Pelodiscus sinensis: one gene and its partner. The protein of the gene in region 1 interacts with the protein of each later gene in a biochemical or structural test. Links are inferred from orthologs where the notes say so. Each region holds a gene or a part of one and is shown on either strand. Other genes may lie near its edges.

The links.
Region 2: the proteins of RELA (region 1) and TLE5 form a complex in vitro, tested with the Homo sapiens proteins (2 studies listed by BioGRID). The link is inferred for Pelodiscus sinensis from reciprocal best matches to the Homo sapiens genes RELA and TLE5.

What each region holds. Positions count from the first base shown.
Region 1 is NC_134721.1:32,635,319-32,643,091, forward strand, and holds the start of RELA (transcription factor p65), read right to left. Parts: upstream 3,028-7,773; 5' UTR 860-3,027; coding exon 844-859; intron 1-843. Other genes in the region: histone acetyltransferase KAT5, read left to right, coding at 4,638-4,649, 4,730-4,796. UniProt on the Homo sapiens protein: NF-kappa-B is a pleiotropic transcription factor present in almost all cell types and is the endpoint of a series of signal transduction events that are initiated by a vast array of stimuli related to many biological processes such as inflammation, immunity, differentiation, cell growth, tumorigenesis and apoptosis.
Region 2 is NC_134729.1:15,388,658-15,396,336, reverse strand, and holds the start of TLE5 (TLE family member 5), read right to left. Parts: upstream 3,064-7,679; 5' UTR 2,654-3,063; coding exon 2,627-2,653; intron 1,151-2,626; coding exon 1,053-1,150; intron 1-1,052. UniProt on the Homo sapiens protein: Transcriptional corepressor. Acts as a dominant repressor towards other family members. Inhibits NF-kappa-B-regulated gene expression. May be required for the initiation and maintenance of the differentiated state.

The DNA of each region.
Region 1 (7,773 bases):
AAGTGTCTGTTCCTCTGGTAATTATCCATAGTCTGATCAAATCACCCCTTCTCTTTGTTAGGCTAAACAAATTGAGTTCCTCAAGTCTAAAACACATAACAAACAAACCACTTCCGGTTTTAGTAATTTACTGTGTGTCTGTATTTCCGCCCCAGATGTGGCGGGACAGAAGAGCTCTGGGTTATGGGATAATATGGAAAGTGCCACACTACATAAGAACTAGGTGTTAATGGTTACAGGCCCAAAACATCAAGTCAGAGATGCCATTTCCATGGTGTAATGTCCAGTCAGCTCAAGCCCAGCCCTTCCTCCAGTCTGAAGGATCCTGCCACCTGTGTTTTTCCCAGTGTGTTGGCCTTTCTTAAGAGACACCAATTCCCCCTCTTCTCCTTTTCCCACATTTCAGATCCCAAATCCACTGTGCCTGCCTTACCCCCAAAGCAACCAGGGAAATCACTGCCAACCAAGGCCTAGGAAGCAGTTTTCACAAGCCACCATCACAATACTTTTCCAAAACAAAACAGAGGCCCAGTTGAGGAAATAATGGGTGGGGTGGGGGGAGAAGGGACAAAGTGGGGGAAACCCAGACTCCTGGGGAATCCCAGCTTCTCTTCAAGCCCCCCATATTCATAACCAGCACTCCAGTAATGGGTGCTCCCCCCACACTCACATCTGTATGAGCTCAACTGCGTTTACACATCCAACTGTCCCAGTAACTCGCTGTATGAGTATTTCATGCAAACCCTCCAGAGATGAAGGTAAGGAGAAGAGATACCCCAGAGTTAAATGGGGGTCCTGAATTTGAGGAAAGTCCCTATTGCTGGGGTGAGCGTATACACTTACCTTCCATTTCTGCCATAAGTCAGGCTAGGTTCCAGGCTAGGAATACAGGAGGTACTGCGGTGGGTGCTCCCTGGCTGGAGGGAGTCAAGGAAGGGGGCTCCCAGCTTTGGAGCCAGAAGAATCCAGGGAATACGAGGCTGGGGAGGGCTCCTGCGCGGGGCTCAGGAAACAAACCCCAGTCCACAAGAAGGACGTGTGCGAGCTCGGGGGGGTGTCTCAGTACAACGGCAGGCGGGGGGGGGGGGGGGTTAGACTCCAAGGGGATGGGGGCCTCTGTGGGGCGAGGCCCCCAACGGAGAGAATTCTGAGAGGGAACGGGAGGATTGTGGCTCCTGTGCGGGTCCTAGGCGGGAGGGGGATCCCGACCCCGTGTCCCAGCCCCACTCGGGAGAGGGCTGCTGGTGGGGCGTCCCGAGGAGCTTGTCCGGGCGGGAGACGAGTCCAATCGTGGGCGGGTCCAGCCCCTCGAAGGGTTCCTAGGCGGAAGCGGTGCTCCGGGCCCAATCGGGGGTCCGCGTCAGGGGCGGGGCCAGGGGCGTGGTCCACGCGGGGTCCTCCGGCGGGATCGGGTCCAGCACCCGCCGTATCCGTTCGCAAACTACGCCGCACGCGGAAATGCCCGCAGCACGTGATCCGCCCCGCTGCTGGGAAAGCCCCGCCTCATGCAAACGAGCGCGGGGGGGGGGATTCCACGCAGGCGCAGAAGCGACGAAGGCAGCCAGGGCAAATTGCAAAGCCAAGAGAGGCGGCGGGGCCATGTTGCAGCTGGGAACGTGGGGGCTATTAAGAACCTAACCAAGAGTGCTCTGGGGTCATTCAGGAATCACACACGGGACCATTATGGAGCCCTTGACTAGAGGGACCAATTCATGAGACATAAACCATACTACGAGTAGGGTAGGGCCTACTGCATTATACAGGGACCAGAGTGGGGGTGATACAAGGCTACATATGGGGCTGTGCATGGACATTATAGTGCCCTATAGGCTATGAGAAGGCCACAAAGGAACCAGGAAACATGTGTCTTACAGCTGCTGTGGCCTCCCCATTGGGTTTTTTAGGCCAAATGTCCACAGCAGTAAATGGTTGAATAAATGGCCCTGCAGTTGCCTTTGGGGATTCAAATCCCAGAGGTGGCCCATTAAGGCTATTTCTTAGCAACACTGTTGTTCTGTTCCCTGTTTATAGGACACCATAGGCACCATTAGCTAATAAACTCATGCTGCCTCCCTTAAAGAGGACACAACCATATCACCTTACCTCTGCCCCCAGCAAATTCTTGGGCTATGTCTACACTGGCAGCTTCTTGCACAAGAACATCTTGCACAAGGATTCTTGTGCTAGAACTCTTGCACAAGAACACGGCCACACTGTCATGTGCTTTTGCACAAGAGCATCCATGGCAGTGTGGACGCTGTCTTGCTCAAGAAAGCTCTGATGGCCATTTTAGCTATAGGGCTTTCTTGCACAAGAAACCCCTGCTGGGCGTCCGCACTGCCCTCTTGCGCAAGAGAGCTTACATTTGTTAGAAAAGAGCATAGTTCTTGCACAAGAAGCCCTCTCTTACCACACTTTACTGTAAATCTTCTTGTGTAAGAGCTGGCGAGCAGTGTGGAGGCTCTGCGGAAGGATGGCTGTTCTTGCGCAAAAACCCGCCAGTGTAGACATAACCTTGGAGAGATTGTGCTTCATTTCCTTTCTGGTGCAAATATCATTCTTCAGGCTCTCACTTTGAGCATGACATACTTCTCTTTGCTTCCCTTCCTTGGCCCTCCCTTTTCTCCTGTATCAGTCTAAGCTGCTTCTCTTCCCTTTCAAGGCCCTCCATTGCCAATCCCCATCTGACTCATCTCTTACAGGGCTGCTGGAACAGTTTTTACAAGAAGGTGCTGAGAGTCATTGAACCAAACTGTAAGCCACAAACATAATGGAAACCACTTCAAGCCAAAGAGTGCAGCAGCACCCTGACTTCCAGCACCTATACATTTTCATTTTCAGCCCATGCTGCCAAGCATTAACTGCCTAAAAGGGATGTTACACAAATAAACACATTTTAAATCTATAACCATTGAATTTTCCAGTGGCTACACATTTACATGCAGTGGGAAGGAAGGCGGAAGCCAGTGCTGGCAAGGAGCTGGTTTTTAAGTCAGGTCCCTGTCGTCAGCAGCAGCTCCTGTCCTCCCTCCCACTGCCCCCCCCCCCCGCCCCTGCTGCCTCTGTATCAGAGGAAGCAATGCAGGGGGCAGGAGGCTTCCTGTGAGCACTAGCTCCCACCTCCTCCTTATCCCCCACCGCTCTGTGGGAGGCAGCAGTACGGGGGGGGGGGGGGGGGGAAGGCTAGGCTACCTGCACATACCAGCTCCCACCCACTGAGGCAACAGTGCGGGAGGAGGTTGGTTTGACAGGAGCTGGTACACATGGGAACCATCTTAAAAGCTGGCTCCTCCCCCCCTCTGTTGCCTATGTGTCAAAGGCAGCAGGGGGGGGGGCGTGTAACACAGTGTTAAGCAATGAGCCCAGACTCATTGATTAATCGTGTACTTGGATACACACTCACATCCCTACTGCATACTTATTATATTTCTACTAAGCCTCTTCATCCTTTCTCCTATGCTATCACTCATGTTTATGAGTTCCCTGTAAGTGCATGCAAAGCTATCTCATTGAGCTCCTTCAAACTATCCTTTGATGGGATGCTTCAAAAAGCATGACATGTAGATTGTTGGTGGTGAACCCATTGCCCAGCATGCAGACCAGATTGTCTCATTGTTCATGGCTGTATCCACCTGTCATTTCTGGATTTATAGGTTGTGAGGCAGGTTCTATGTTTTTACAGCACCTTGCAACATGGGGATCCTAGGCAAGCATAGAGAAAAGGCTACCTATTAACAGCCTCTTTAAGTCAGAACTTGATATGAGGGTGATTTACAAGACAGAACTAGAAAGCCCTCTAAAAGAAGATTAAAGATTCCTGGGGTCATTGAGGCAAGGCAAGTGGTGCCACAGCAAACTACTGGAAATCTATGGAGACAGATGCTGCCACACCAACTTAGAAAGCTGGGCTCTAGTCCTAGTTCTGCTTTAAGCTTCCTACCTGGACACAGAAAGGGTGCTTTTCGCCTGCCCCGGCAGCGATACGAGGTCAATAAGGAAGGGCTGGGAAGCAGGTGGACATGTTAGAAGCTTGAACTCCTGAGCCCTGGCTCCGAGTCTCTGGCTACTACAAGTTAGGTGGCTGTGGGCCCCAGCAGCTGTCGGGCCCAGGGCTCCAGGGGCCCGTGTCACGCGGCTCCACTGAAGGCCCCCCCTCTACTTGGTTGCGGTTTTAGAAACTGGGAGGGAGGGAAGGCGATGGGGAAGCCGAATCTCGGGGACCCCTCGAAACGCTGCCGGGCCCTCAACCGGCCTCGTGAGGCTAAACGCTCCAGAGGCCTCGTCACGTCCGAGTCACATGATTTTCTCCCATGCGCCCAGCTAGCTGCGCACGTACGTGGGGCAATCTCCCGCTGTCGCCATTCGTGCTTCGCCCGCTAACTGCGGTCCCGCCAACTCCTCAGATTCCTTTCCGATTCAGGCGAACGCCACGAACAGCCCCGGAGCGGGTCCTCGCTGGGACCGGAAGGAGTTAATCATGCTGCCGGAAGTAATTCTGAGCAGGGCCGAACGCTAGCAACATATACTGAGTGGACCGGAAGTAGCTATAACAGACCGGAAGGGCCCCCACGCGTTCCCGGAAACGTCCCGGCACGGGGAACGGAAGAGAAGACCCCGCTCGCCGGCGAGCATTCAAGATGGCGGAGGTGGTGAGTGGGATGTGTAGGGTGGGGTCCGGCGGGGGGATTCCTGTGGGTTCCTGTTTAACTGTTCTGCATCCCGCCCGCAGGGAGAGGTGACCGAGGGCTGCCGGCTGCCCGTGCTGCGTCGCAACCAGGATAACGAAGATGAATGGCGTAAGTGAGGGGGTGGGGCTAAATGATGGGGGTGGGATTTAAAGAGGAGGGGCTAGAGGGTATATGAGAGGCACGGGGGATATCTTGGGAGACGTAGGGACACGGGGCCGTGTGGAAAGGGAGGACGGGCGGGAGTCTCAGAAGGCTAATGAAGAGACCAGTGTATAGGAGGAAATGGGCCCAATGCAGAGGATAGAAGAATCGGCCAATGGGGGACCTCAGTTGGAAAAAGGGATAAGGCTGCATCATTTATGAAAGGGGGAAACAGGGAATGTGAGGGGGGCAGTAAGCACGTGGAGCTGGGCATCTCTTTCCTTTTAGAGGCTTTGAACCCAGATTGTAGGAATGATTGGTCATCTCTAGTGCTTGCCATGCTTTTGGGATGCATCTTAGGTTCCCTAGGGAGGGAAATGTTAGCCTGTCATTTTGGAACTGCCAACTCATCTCCTGGTTAAAGGGAGTGCCCCAAAGCTGTGGGATAATCCCTTCCATTTCAGGTCATGGTCAAGGATCCCAGGGCAGCATTTGAAGGCGAGAGCTGTCACACTTTGGGTGGGAGAGACTCTGGATCAGTGTTTCTCAACCTTTTTTTGTATAAGGTAGCCCCTTTAAAAAAAAAAAAAAAAAACCATAAGTACCTTGAGTACCTACAGTTTTCAGACATGCAATGTTTTCTACCATTGCAACACATTTGTTTAAATAATTTAATCGTAGCTTAGCTGGCGATGAAATTTTTGGGTGTAAAAAATACAAAAATAATAAAGTGCTGTAAAACTTTTTTAAAAAATCAGTTTTCTCCAAATTTCAGTTGTTGATCTACCCCCAAACTTCTCTTGAGTACCTCTGAGGATACTTGTACCACCGATTGAGAAACACTGTTCTGGATAATACCCAGGGCACTGCCCCAGAATCAGAATGATCTCCGGTATCTATATAACTGTATTGAGGATCAAGTTTGGCCTTGGTGTGGACACATGTTGCAGGGATGTGCTGATCTGCGAGTGTGGCCCTTGGTACCTACAAATATAAAGGTACATTTTTGTGCATTTTTCTCTCCCAGTATATCTCTCAAATATACTTGGGGAGTGAGCTCTTGTGAGCAAGGATTTTTTCTCACTCTGCAGTGCTAGGCACAGAGGAGAGACCTCCTGACCCAGAAAATGTTGGTTCTACTGAAACACTGCCAGAGTTGGAGAAAAAATCTCTAGTATGAAAAATGCCTCATTCTAGTGCAAACATCATGTATTTTTCTATACGCACTTTATTGAAATAATAATCTCTCATATGTCTATATTGTCACCCTCCCAAGTTCTGCAGAGATTTCACCTGCTAGATTTGGTAGAGGGTATTCTTAATTTATACTCTTCAAAGTGTTCCCACTTAAACAATACCACAGCCATAGGAATTAATTGCCACACTAGATCAGACCTGGGTTACATGCAGCTGAGTGTTTCAGTGGAACGTGTAAAAACTTTTACATTGTTTTGGAATAACCTGATAGGAGGTGGGTTCCCCCAATACTTAGAAGATAGCTTAACTTTTGAAATGGGAGGTTTCCAAAACTCCTGTTCTTTTTTTCGGGTTGACCCTCGATGGTCTCCTCCTTATGAGCTTCCAGTCTCCTTTGAGATCCTGCACTTAACTGTGTCAAGTGCCAGTGAGTTCCAGAGGCTGGTGGTGTATTACATGAAAAAGAATGTTGTTTGATTGGTTTTGAAGTGTTCTTGAAATTTTCATTGCAGTTATGCTACAAGACATGGAAATGATGTGCCCATCCCCATTCTCTATCCCTGTCATTTTTCTATATACTTTTATCATGTGTCATTTCTTCATCTGCTCTGTAAACCAGACAATCCCAATAACTTATTTTTCTAGGAGAGTTCCTCTTCCCCCATCCCCACCCTGGTGCCGTCTCTGAATCGTGGACCCCCCCCCCCCATCTAATTCTGCTAAATTCTTGTTCACCTGGGAGATCAAACCAGAATGCAGAGTTTATAGAGACCAAGGCCAAAAAGGATTGACCATCCAGTCTGATCACCAGCATTACCTAAGCCTGAGACTCCATCTCCGACATTCCTGCATTGAGCACAGATCTGGGAGTTGAGCTAGAGTGAAGCTTTTAGAAAGAGATGTCTAATCTTGATTTAAAGATGCATTTCCAAGTCATTTCTAGCCTGAATATCCAGCAGTTGGATCAACTTCTAGCTTTATCTGCTGCATTAACAACCCCTCTGTTGTCAAGAATCTTTTTCCCATGTAGCGTCGTCCAGCCATCTTTTAACCTCCTCCTGTCACACAGAGCACACGTTGTCAGGCGAGTCTTCCAAACACTTGAATCATTCTTATATCTCTTTCCATCTTGTCAGCTTGTTTTTAGAAGTGTGGCCATCCAAACAGGACACAATATCCAGTAATGCTGTTACTTTTGTACATAGCCCATCCTAGCTTCTGCCTGAAATACCCCTGTTTATCCATCTAATGTGCATTCACCCTTTTAGCTACAGTGTCACATTGGAAGGTCATATTCAACTGTTTATCTACCATGACCTCATGTCATTTTCAGAGTTGCTGCTTTCCACAGTACAGTAAACATCTTAAACAGTTGACCTGCACTCTTAGCTGTGTGACCTTGTTCTTTTGGACTTCCAATAGTTAAAAGTAATGCTCCAGATGACTAGAACTGAAAGAAATGAATCAAACTAATGTACATATTTTTCTTTTCTCACCAGATTGCTCATTGTGTGCATTTGATAGTTCAGTGCCGTTTCACTTTTAACTTTCCACAGTACAATTTTTCGTTGCTGGAAAAAAAACCCGTTATAGGCATCAACGTGAGGTTAGGAAGAAAAATCCTTCTAAAAGTGTTTTAAAAGGAATATAAATATTGGGAGATTGCTCCAATCCTGCAAATGCCCAGGACATTCCATGGCGTCCCTCTAGCATGTTGTAGAACACAGAATCAGAACCAGGATGTTTC
Region 2 (7,679 bases), on another chromosome or scaffold:
ATCCTGTTGGCATGAACCTGCACTCCTATTTTCCATCTGAAGCCCCGCCTGGGACGCAAGGCACATGGGAAAGTCAGAGCAGAACAAGCGAGCAGCCACAAAGTCATATGCATAAGGACACAAAATGAAGAGATCTCAATGGTGTATTAGATAATTAAAGAGGATACCCTCAGGTTGATTTAAGCTCTGTTCCAATAAAAGCCAAATCTTAAGATCACTAGAAAGGTTTATTGGAAAACATGCACATTGAGATTTCAGCATTTCCCAGCAGTGTTTGCAATGGGTTCACGTGGGCAAGACAGAACACAGCACAGACTACAAACTCCCAGCCACAGTGCAATCGGCTAGTCCTCATTGTCCTAGCTGAGCAAAGGGTAAACCAGGAGTACTGCTGCTCAGGGGGGGAATTTAAAGCCTTCAGCTTTCATGATCGTCAGGGTTATAACACAGCAGGACTCATCCCCCACCCCTCCCCCCACAACTAGGTGCCATTTTAGCCAAGGCAATCATGCTCTCCATCGCATTTCAAATCTGGCTGCTGTGAAGGAATCTTCCTCCAAAGCACATTGCTCGGGTCTGTTTCCTTGGGGGATCAGCTGTGAGGGTCAGTTCGGTTTCCTACACGAGTCATCCTCTGACAACTGCAGCAGTACATAAGGCTGCAAGAAACTGCGCCGGTCCTCCTTCCTGTCTATCACCATGTCTCTATCTAGCAAGTCAACCTCTGAATATCCCGTCCCCTCCCCAGGAGCCCTTAACAAAAAAATCCTGAAAACTTCATGGCAGAAGCGAGCAAGTGACAGGCCCCTGGGACCCACCTGTGAAAGCATCGTTTACTGCCACCATCTCTGGCTAGCTACTGAGAGCATCGCAGTGACAGCACGCAGCCGATGAGAAGAGCATCCCTTACGGCAGGCTGGGAGGAGGGACGTCACCAAGACAACACTCACTTTGGCATGGGCCCTGAATAGCATCCCCGCCAGCTCCCCGTGGGCCGTAGACATGGAGAGCCGCAGGCTGCGGCTAGTTGCACCGCAGTGCACTAGGCTCACCTGTGGTACTGAGCTTGCAGGAGCTGGAATTCATCTTTAATCCGGTCACAGGAATCAGAGGTCGTGAACTTCAGCTGCTGCGGCAGATGAGACGAACCCTTTGGACACAGAAGAGAGCGCCGGGCAATATGGCAGGAGGGAAAGCGATGCCCAGACAAGCCTTCCCCCTCCAGCACAGCTGTCCCCACAGATGAGGGTCAGCACTGGGCAGCACCCCCAACCCCCAAGCAATGACTGCAGCATCAGCCTCCTTCCCTAGCACTCTTGCACCAAGGACCTGGAATTAAAGCCCCACCTCCAGGAGAACTATTTCTCCCCGCCTCCGCCCCCTCAGATGGGGAACACAGGCCCCAAAAGGGGCCCACGGTCATGCAGCCCTGCTGCTGCTCTGCTAGCTACGGCAATCAGGAAGGTGGAGAGGTCCCAGTTTCTAAAGGCCTCCTTTAATGCGTTTCGCCTCACAGCACCCCTGTGAGGGAGGGCAGGGCTATTACCTCAATTCTACAGACAGGAAACTGAGGCACGGACAGACTAAGCCACTGGCTCTAGGAATGGAATCCAGCAGTCGCCAGTCCCAGGCTGGCATCCCAACCAGTGAGCCAAGCTTTCACTCAGCTGATCTGAGCTCACAATGCCTCCTGCCTCCTTTAGCAACAGGAAGGACAGCACCTCTGCCACCAGGCAACACCCCAGAATTAGAGAGAGAGTTGATAGGGGCCAGGGGATATTTAAACCCACCCCAATCTGCCAGCCTAGGGTTTGTTTGTTTGTTTGTTTCAAGGCAATCCTCCTCCTCTACGGCTCTATCTAGACTCGGGTATTAAAAAGTGGAGGAACAATAAACATTTATTCTTTTCCCATCAGGATAATCAGGGGCTCAAAGCCCCGATGGCAGTAAGCTCGGGGGGGGGGGGGGGGGGGAGATAAATATTCCCATCAGTGCACCGACCCCTCACAGAAACTGGAAGAAGCAGAGCAGCCAGCTTCAAGAAAAGGAAAAGAGCTACTCAGGTAAAAGTGCCCTCACCCCTCCCCCGTCTCCTGCCCCCCACATACCACCCTCTCCCAGACAGCACCTGCACCCCGCCCCTCACCCTCATAAAACACCAACTTGGCCCCCCAGGGCCCAAAGCGGTTTCCACCCAGCACCCCCGTGTCCCTTCCAGCTCGCCCCAGACCCCACGCGAGGCAGAGACGCCCCTTGTGCATTGGCTGGCCCAGCTGCCAGGGTCTTCCCAGCACAAGAGCAGTGGCCGCTTCGCCCCGCTGCACTTCCTGGACCAAGGCGCCCCGAGCCACCCCCGCAGCGCCCCGCCGAGCCCGACACCTCCAGCCCAACCTTGAACTCCCCCCGCACCCCCCTTGCCTCGGGCCCGCCCACGCATCCCCTTACCCGCAGGAGCCCCCGGCGCTTGCCCCAGAGCGCGCTGAGCAGCCCCCACCTGTGCGCCGACCCCCCCGTGGGGTGCAGAGCCCCCCCGCTCCGTGCTTCCCCCACGCACTAAGCGCCCCCCCCCCACGCGCACCCCCCACGCGCGCCCCGGTGCAGCCCCCGGGCCGGGCCCGCGGCTCACCGAGTGCCGGCTTTGCGGAAACATCATGTCAGGCTCGGGCTGCTCCGGCTGCTGCCTGGGCCGGGCCCCGCTGCTCCGCCTTTGTCCCTGCGCAGCGCCCGAGCCTAGGCCGCGTCCCCGCGCCGGGCTGCGGCTCCGCTCGGCTCCGGCCGCCTCGCCTTTTGTCTAATGGCGGCTGCGGCTCCGTCCTGCGGCTGATCAGCACCACCTGCTGCTGCGGCTGCGGCTGCCCCGCGCGCCCCGCTCCGCCCCGCAGCAGCCCGGCCGTGCGCCCCGCTCCGCTCCGCTCCGCTCTGCAGCAGCCCCGCTCCGCGCCGCTCCCCCGGAGCCGGCTCTGCAGCAAAGCCGAGCTGCGCTCCCCCGCCTGGCTGCAGCTCCCCCCAGCGCCCGCCCCCTTGCAGCTCCCCTCTCCGGCAGGGACCTTAGCGCCTCTCCCGGGCCAGGGAACGCCTCCCCTCCCCAGGCGGGTGCAGCTAGCAACACCCTCCCTCCAGCGCATTCCCTCCCTGGACGTGCTTCCTGCTACTCCCGCTCCGGCTGAACAGCTAACGCGTCACCCGGGCCTCCCCCTTCCAAAGATGCTGCAGCGGCCCTGGCTTGAAAGGGTTTCCATTCTGTGCTATTTGGGTCAATGGCGCCCCCCCCGCCCCCCGCCCAGTACAAAAACTGCTCCAGCCCCTCTGTGGGCAGGACTCAGTCCCAGAAAGGCTGCAGGGATCCTCTTCATAGGGGTCTAGGCACAGTAGGGTTTGTGTGTCTAGGCCCAAGTTCCCTATGAGCTAAGGCTTGTGCAGCCACACAGTTGAGACTCCAATGCCACCCCACTGGTTGGCAGAGCACCCACAGAGAGTTTTTTTTCTCCTGGCAGTGCACTTTCACACATGACTCAGTGTACATAAAAAATTTATTCTGCATCTGGATTGAAAAGATTAGAGGGAACACTGCTCTAAGCCGGTGGCTCTCAACCTTCGCACGCTACGCTGCCCCGTTCGTCAGATGCATAAATCAGCCTGAATTTTTCAGACGTGGAACTTCCAGTGGGCTGTAATAGTAGCCGCTGGAGTGAGTGGCTACTACACCTGCCAGGTGAAGGGGATATAACATGAATCATGCATCTGACAAAGTGGGGGTCCAGCCCATGAAAGCTTATGACCAGGGCTCGACCAATCGCCATATCTACTTGCCTGTGGCGAGTAGATTTCAGCCAGTTGCCCCGTTCACCGGTGCTGTGTGCATGCACAGTGCTGGTCTGGCGCATGCGCGGTGTGGGGCTGGCGAGTAGATCTTGCCGCGGTTTGTCGAGCCCTGCTTATAACCAAATAAGTCTGTTAGTCTTTAAGGTGCCACAGGACTCCACCTTGTTTTTGCTGAAACAGACTGACACAGCTACCCCTCTGAAACATGGCTACTCATTTCAGGACTCTGATTTCTCTCATGTCCCCCTCCCCCAAGTTTCGCCTAATTTAAAAACGACTTGCTTACAAAATCAGACATTAAAATATTTAAAAAGCGTCACAGCCACACTATTACTGAAAAATTGCTGACTTCCTCCTTTTTACCATATAAAATAAATCAACTGGCATATAAATATTGTACTTATATTTCAGTGTATGTAGTACATGGAGCAGAATAAATAAGTAATTGTATGATATTTTTATTTTATATTGACTTCACTAGTGCTTTTATGTAGCCTGTAAGCAAATATCTGGATGAATTGATGTACCCCCCAGATGATCTCTGTGTACCCGCACAGGTACATATACCCCTGGCTAAAAACCACTGCTGTAGGCCCTACAAACATAATCATTCTACCATTACTCTCTGTTTTCTTCTCACACAGGATCCCTCCTCCTGTGTTGTGCTGAATGCATCTCCCCTTTAAAATGTCCTTTCCTGCAGTGCAATTTGGGAGCTGGAAAAGTTAGGCCAGAGCCCCAAAAACCCTAATGGTTTCCTTGTAGCCTTCAGACTGAACATAGTCACTTAACCCCCAGCTATGCAGTGAGCAAGCCTTGGACATTACTCTGATTCTCTTGGCTATTCCAATCTCTTATGGAGTGATAAAGGAAGTCTATTTTCCACCTATATGCAAACAGCAGGGGCCATGGTTTAACATCGTGCCCATGACCAGATGCCTGCCCCCTCTAGCAGTGTGGTACTCCCTAAATTGGTGTTAGCATGAGGTATGCACCCACTGATAGAGATGAAAGAGCTGTATCAGCTGAACTATTGTAACATGTTGTGTTCAGGGGCCTTGCTTTATGTCTTGGCTGTGAGTAACTCCAGAGCTGAAACCCAACATGGCTAGGAATTTTCAGACCTGGAATCCCAATGGGCTGTAACAGTAGTCACTGGAGTCACTGCAGTCAGGTGAAGGGTATATACCCTTTTGCAACCCTGCCCCATAACTCCCGCCTGTCACGTCTTTATTGCATGGTCTCTGCAGCACTTCCAAATTCTCCTGAAAGCAAGTGACATGGCAGAGAAATCTGTGAGGGTGAAGTTCCCTTCACTTTTACCTGGGAGGGACAAGCCTAAAATATTGGTGAGCTATGGTAGGGAGCATGAAGAGGGCTGCAAATTGCAACATGCAGCATAAGAACACAAGAACGGCCAGACTGGGTCAGACCAAGGATCCATCTAGCCCAAGGTCCTGTCTTCCAACAGTGCCAGTTGCCCCAAAGGGAATGAACAGGGAATCATCAAGTGAGCCCCCCCCCCCCCCCCCCAATGTCACCCATTCCCAGCTTCTGACAAACAGAGGCTAGGGACACCATTCCTGCCCGTCCTGGCTAATAAGCATTTATGGACCTATACTCCATGAATTTATCTTGTTCTTTTTTGAAACCATTTAACATTTCATTCAAAAATTCTTGGAGCACAGTGATCCATGCAAGAAAGTCAGTTGGGAAAAGCATATTTTTCTCTAGTGCCAGATGAGACCGTTGATCCTTATGTTACAAACCTGTGTATTAAAGCTAGGCCATGCAAATTTGAACAGTTAATAGCTATATACTAATTAGAGACAGAATTACTTGTGGCATAACTGATAAATAGGTCAAAGCAAGGTGTTTATGAGAAATGGATTTGACTTTGCAAAGGACTGGATATTTTCAAGGCTGGTGAAAACTGCTTCTCAAAGTGTTAAAAAGCAGTGAAAGAACTGAAGTGCAACTAATTAAAAATGCATAAAGACAGAACACAAAGGCAAGTAAACAGCAGATGCAGTGAATGCGGAAGCAATCACGAGATGACAGAAAGGTGTGCAGCCCAAGGGATGCGGTGTCATACACACAATAAAGGCAACCATTTTGCACAGGGCATTGCTTTCAGCACAATCTGAAACGCTGTATAAAAGCAAAATACATTCATGGACGGACAGCTCTCACGATGATCTTTGATAGATCCCTTACAGAGCAAGTTGATATAATAGTTTGGTTTATGATGCTGGAAATAAATGAACAAAAAGTGAATTCCAGCACAGAGAGGGAAATTGAGTGCCACATAATCACAGTAGGCAAATACAAAAATACTAGTGACGACCCAGTGTTAAATATCTAAGCTTGCTTCATATAGTAAACACATAATGAGCCCACCTATCTACGGTATCCCAGTGTCTCAGCATAAGGACAGATTTCACTCCATAGAGTTTGAAACACTGGAACAAGAAGGACCCAATGGGTTTGCACTGAAGAGCAGTTTGCAAATGCATATCTATTTAAATAGGTGCAAAACCTGATCAAAATGCAGGAAATGGTCTGGGAGTGTCTCGAAAGGTATTTGAGAGGCTTAGAAGCGAAGAGCCCTGCAAATCTGCAGATATCCACTTTATATCCATAGGTATCCGCATCTGTAGATGTGGATGCAGATATCTGTGGCTCATTTTTGCAGATACAAATTTTGTAGCTGCGTAGGGCTCTATTGATGCATCATACAGCAAAATACATGTTCGAGGTAATACAGTGGCAATACGGTGGAAGGGGGGAGGGCACCCCTTTTCAAACACAGGGATGGGAGTCCCTTCATGGCATATCAAATGGTCTTGGGATTGAAACAGGAATTGATGAGATTAGGGCTGCCAGCCCATGAATTTGGTTCCCAGTCATCTCACAATAGGGGTGCTATGGCAGCAGCGCAAATAGGCATGGAAGTGGAGGCAATCAGGCAATCTCTCCCTACCATCAATCTGTAATTGTGAATGCCCTTGATATATTGGACCATCTTCTGTAGGTGAGAGAGACCTGCTTCTGAGCTCCCATAGAGCTCTTTTTTGGGTCATGTTCTCTGTAAAGTGCAGCTAGCATTGAGCAATAAAGTAAGAGCTGAACTTGGCCAGGCAGTAAAATTCGATGCGACTGAGTGAACACACATTCCAACTGCTTAGGGTACTCGCATGGTCACCACAGTCAAACCAAGCAAGTTAAGGATTGCATAGATTTGAATAAGGACATCAAACTTGAGAGCTACCCCACGAGAACAGCTGCAGAAGCCCTGTGTCACCACTCCGTTATTTTTTTTTAACTGAGCTGTTGCACATCGCATCATAAGAATGGCCATACGGGGACAGACCAAAGGTCCGTCTAGCCCAGTATCCTGTCTTCCATCAGACAACAATAAGCCTAGCTCTTATATAGCACTTTACACAAGTAGCTCGCAAAGTGCTTGACAAGAGAAATGTCTATCACTAACCCTTTTTTTACAGATGGGAAACTGAGGCATAGCACGTTACACTGACTTGCCCAGGATCACCCAGCATCAGAACCAGAAATAGAGGTCCAGTCTGCTGAGTTTCAGGCTGTGTTCTGGGCCCCAAGACACACTGTTCACACACCGTGGAATTCCAGATACACAGATACCAAACTGACTTACAGTTCACTAGTGGCTCATTTTGGCAATTTTCTTTGCTGCATCAGTTTAAGGATCACAGGTCAAACCATCATCATGTAGAGACCAATGGGTCAGCAGGAAAATCAATGCAATCAGCAAATAACATAATTTTAAGAAGTCCTTGCAATTTCAAATAATCCATACGTCCTTCACTGCTAGAATAACA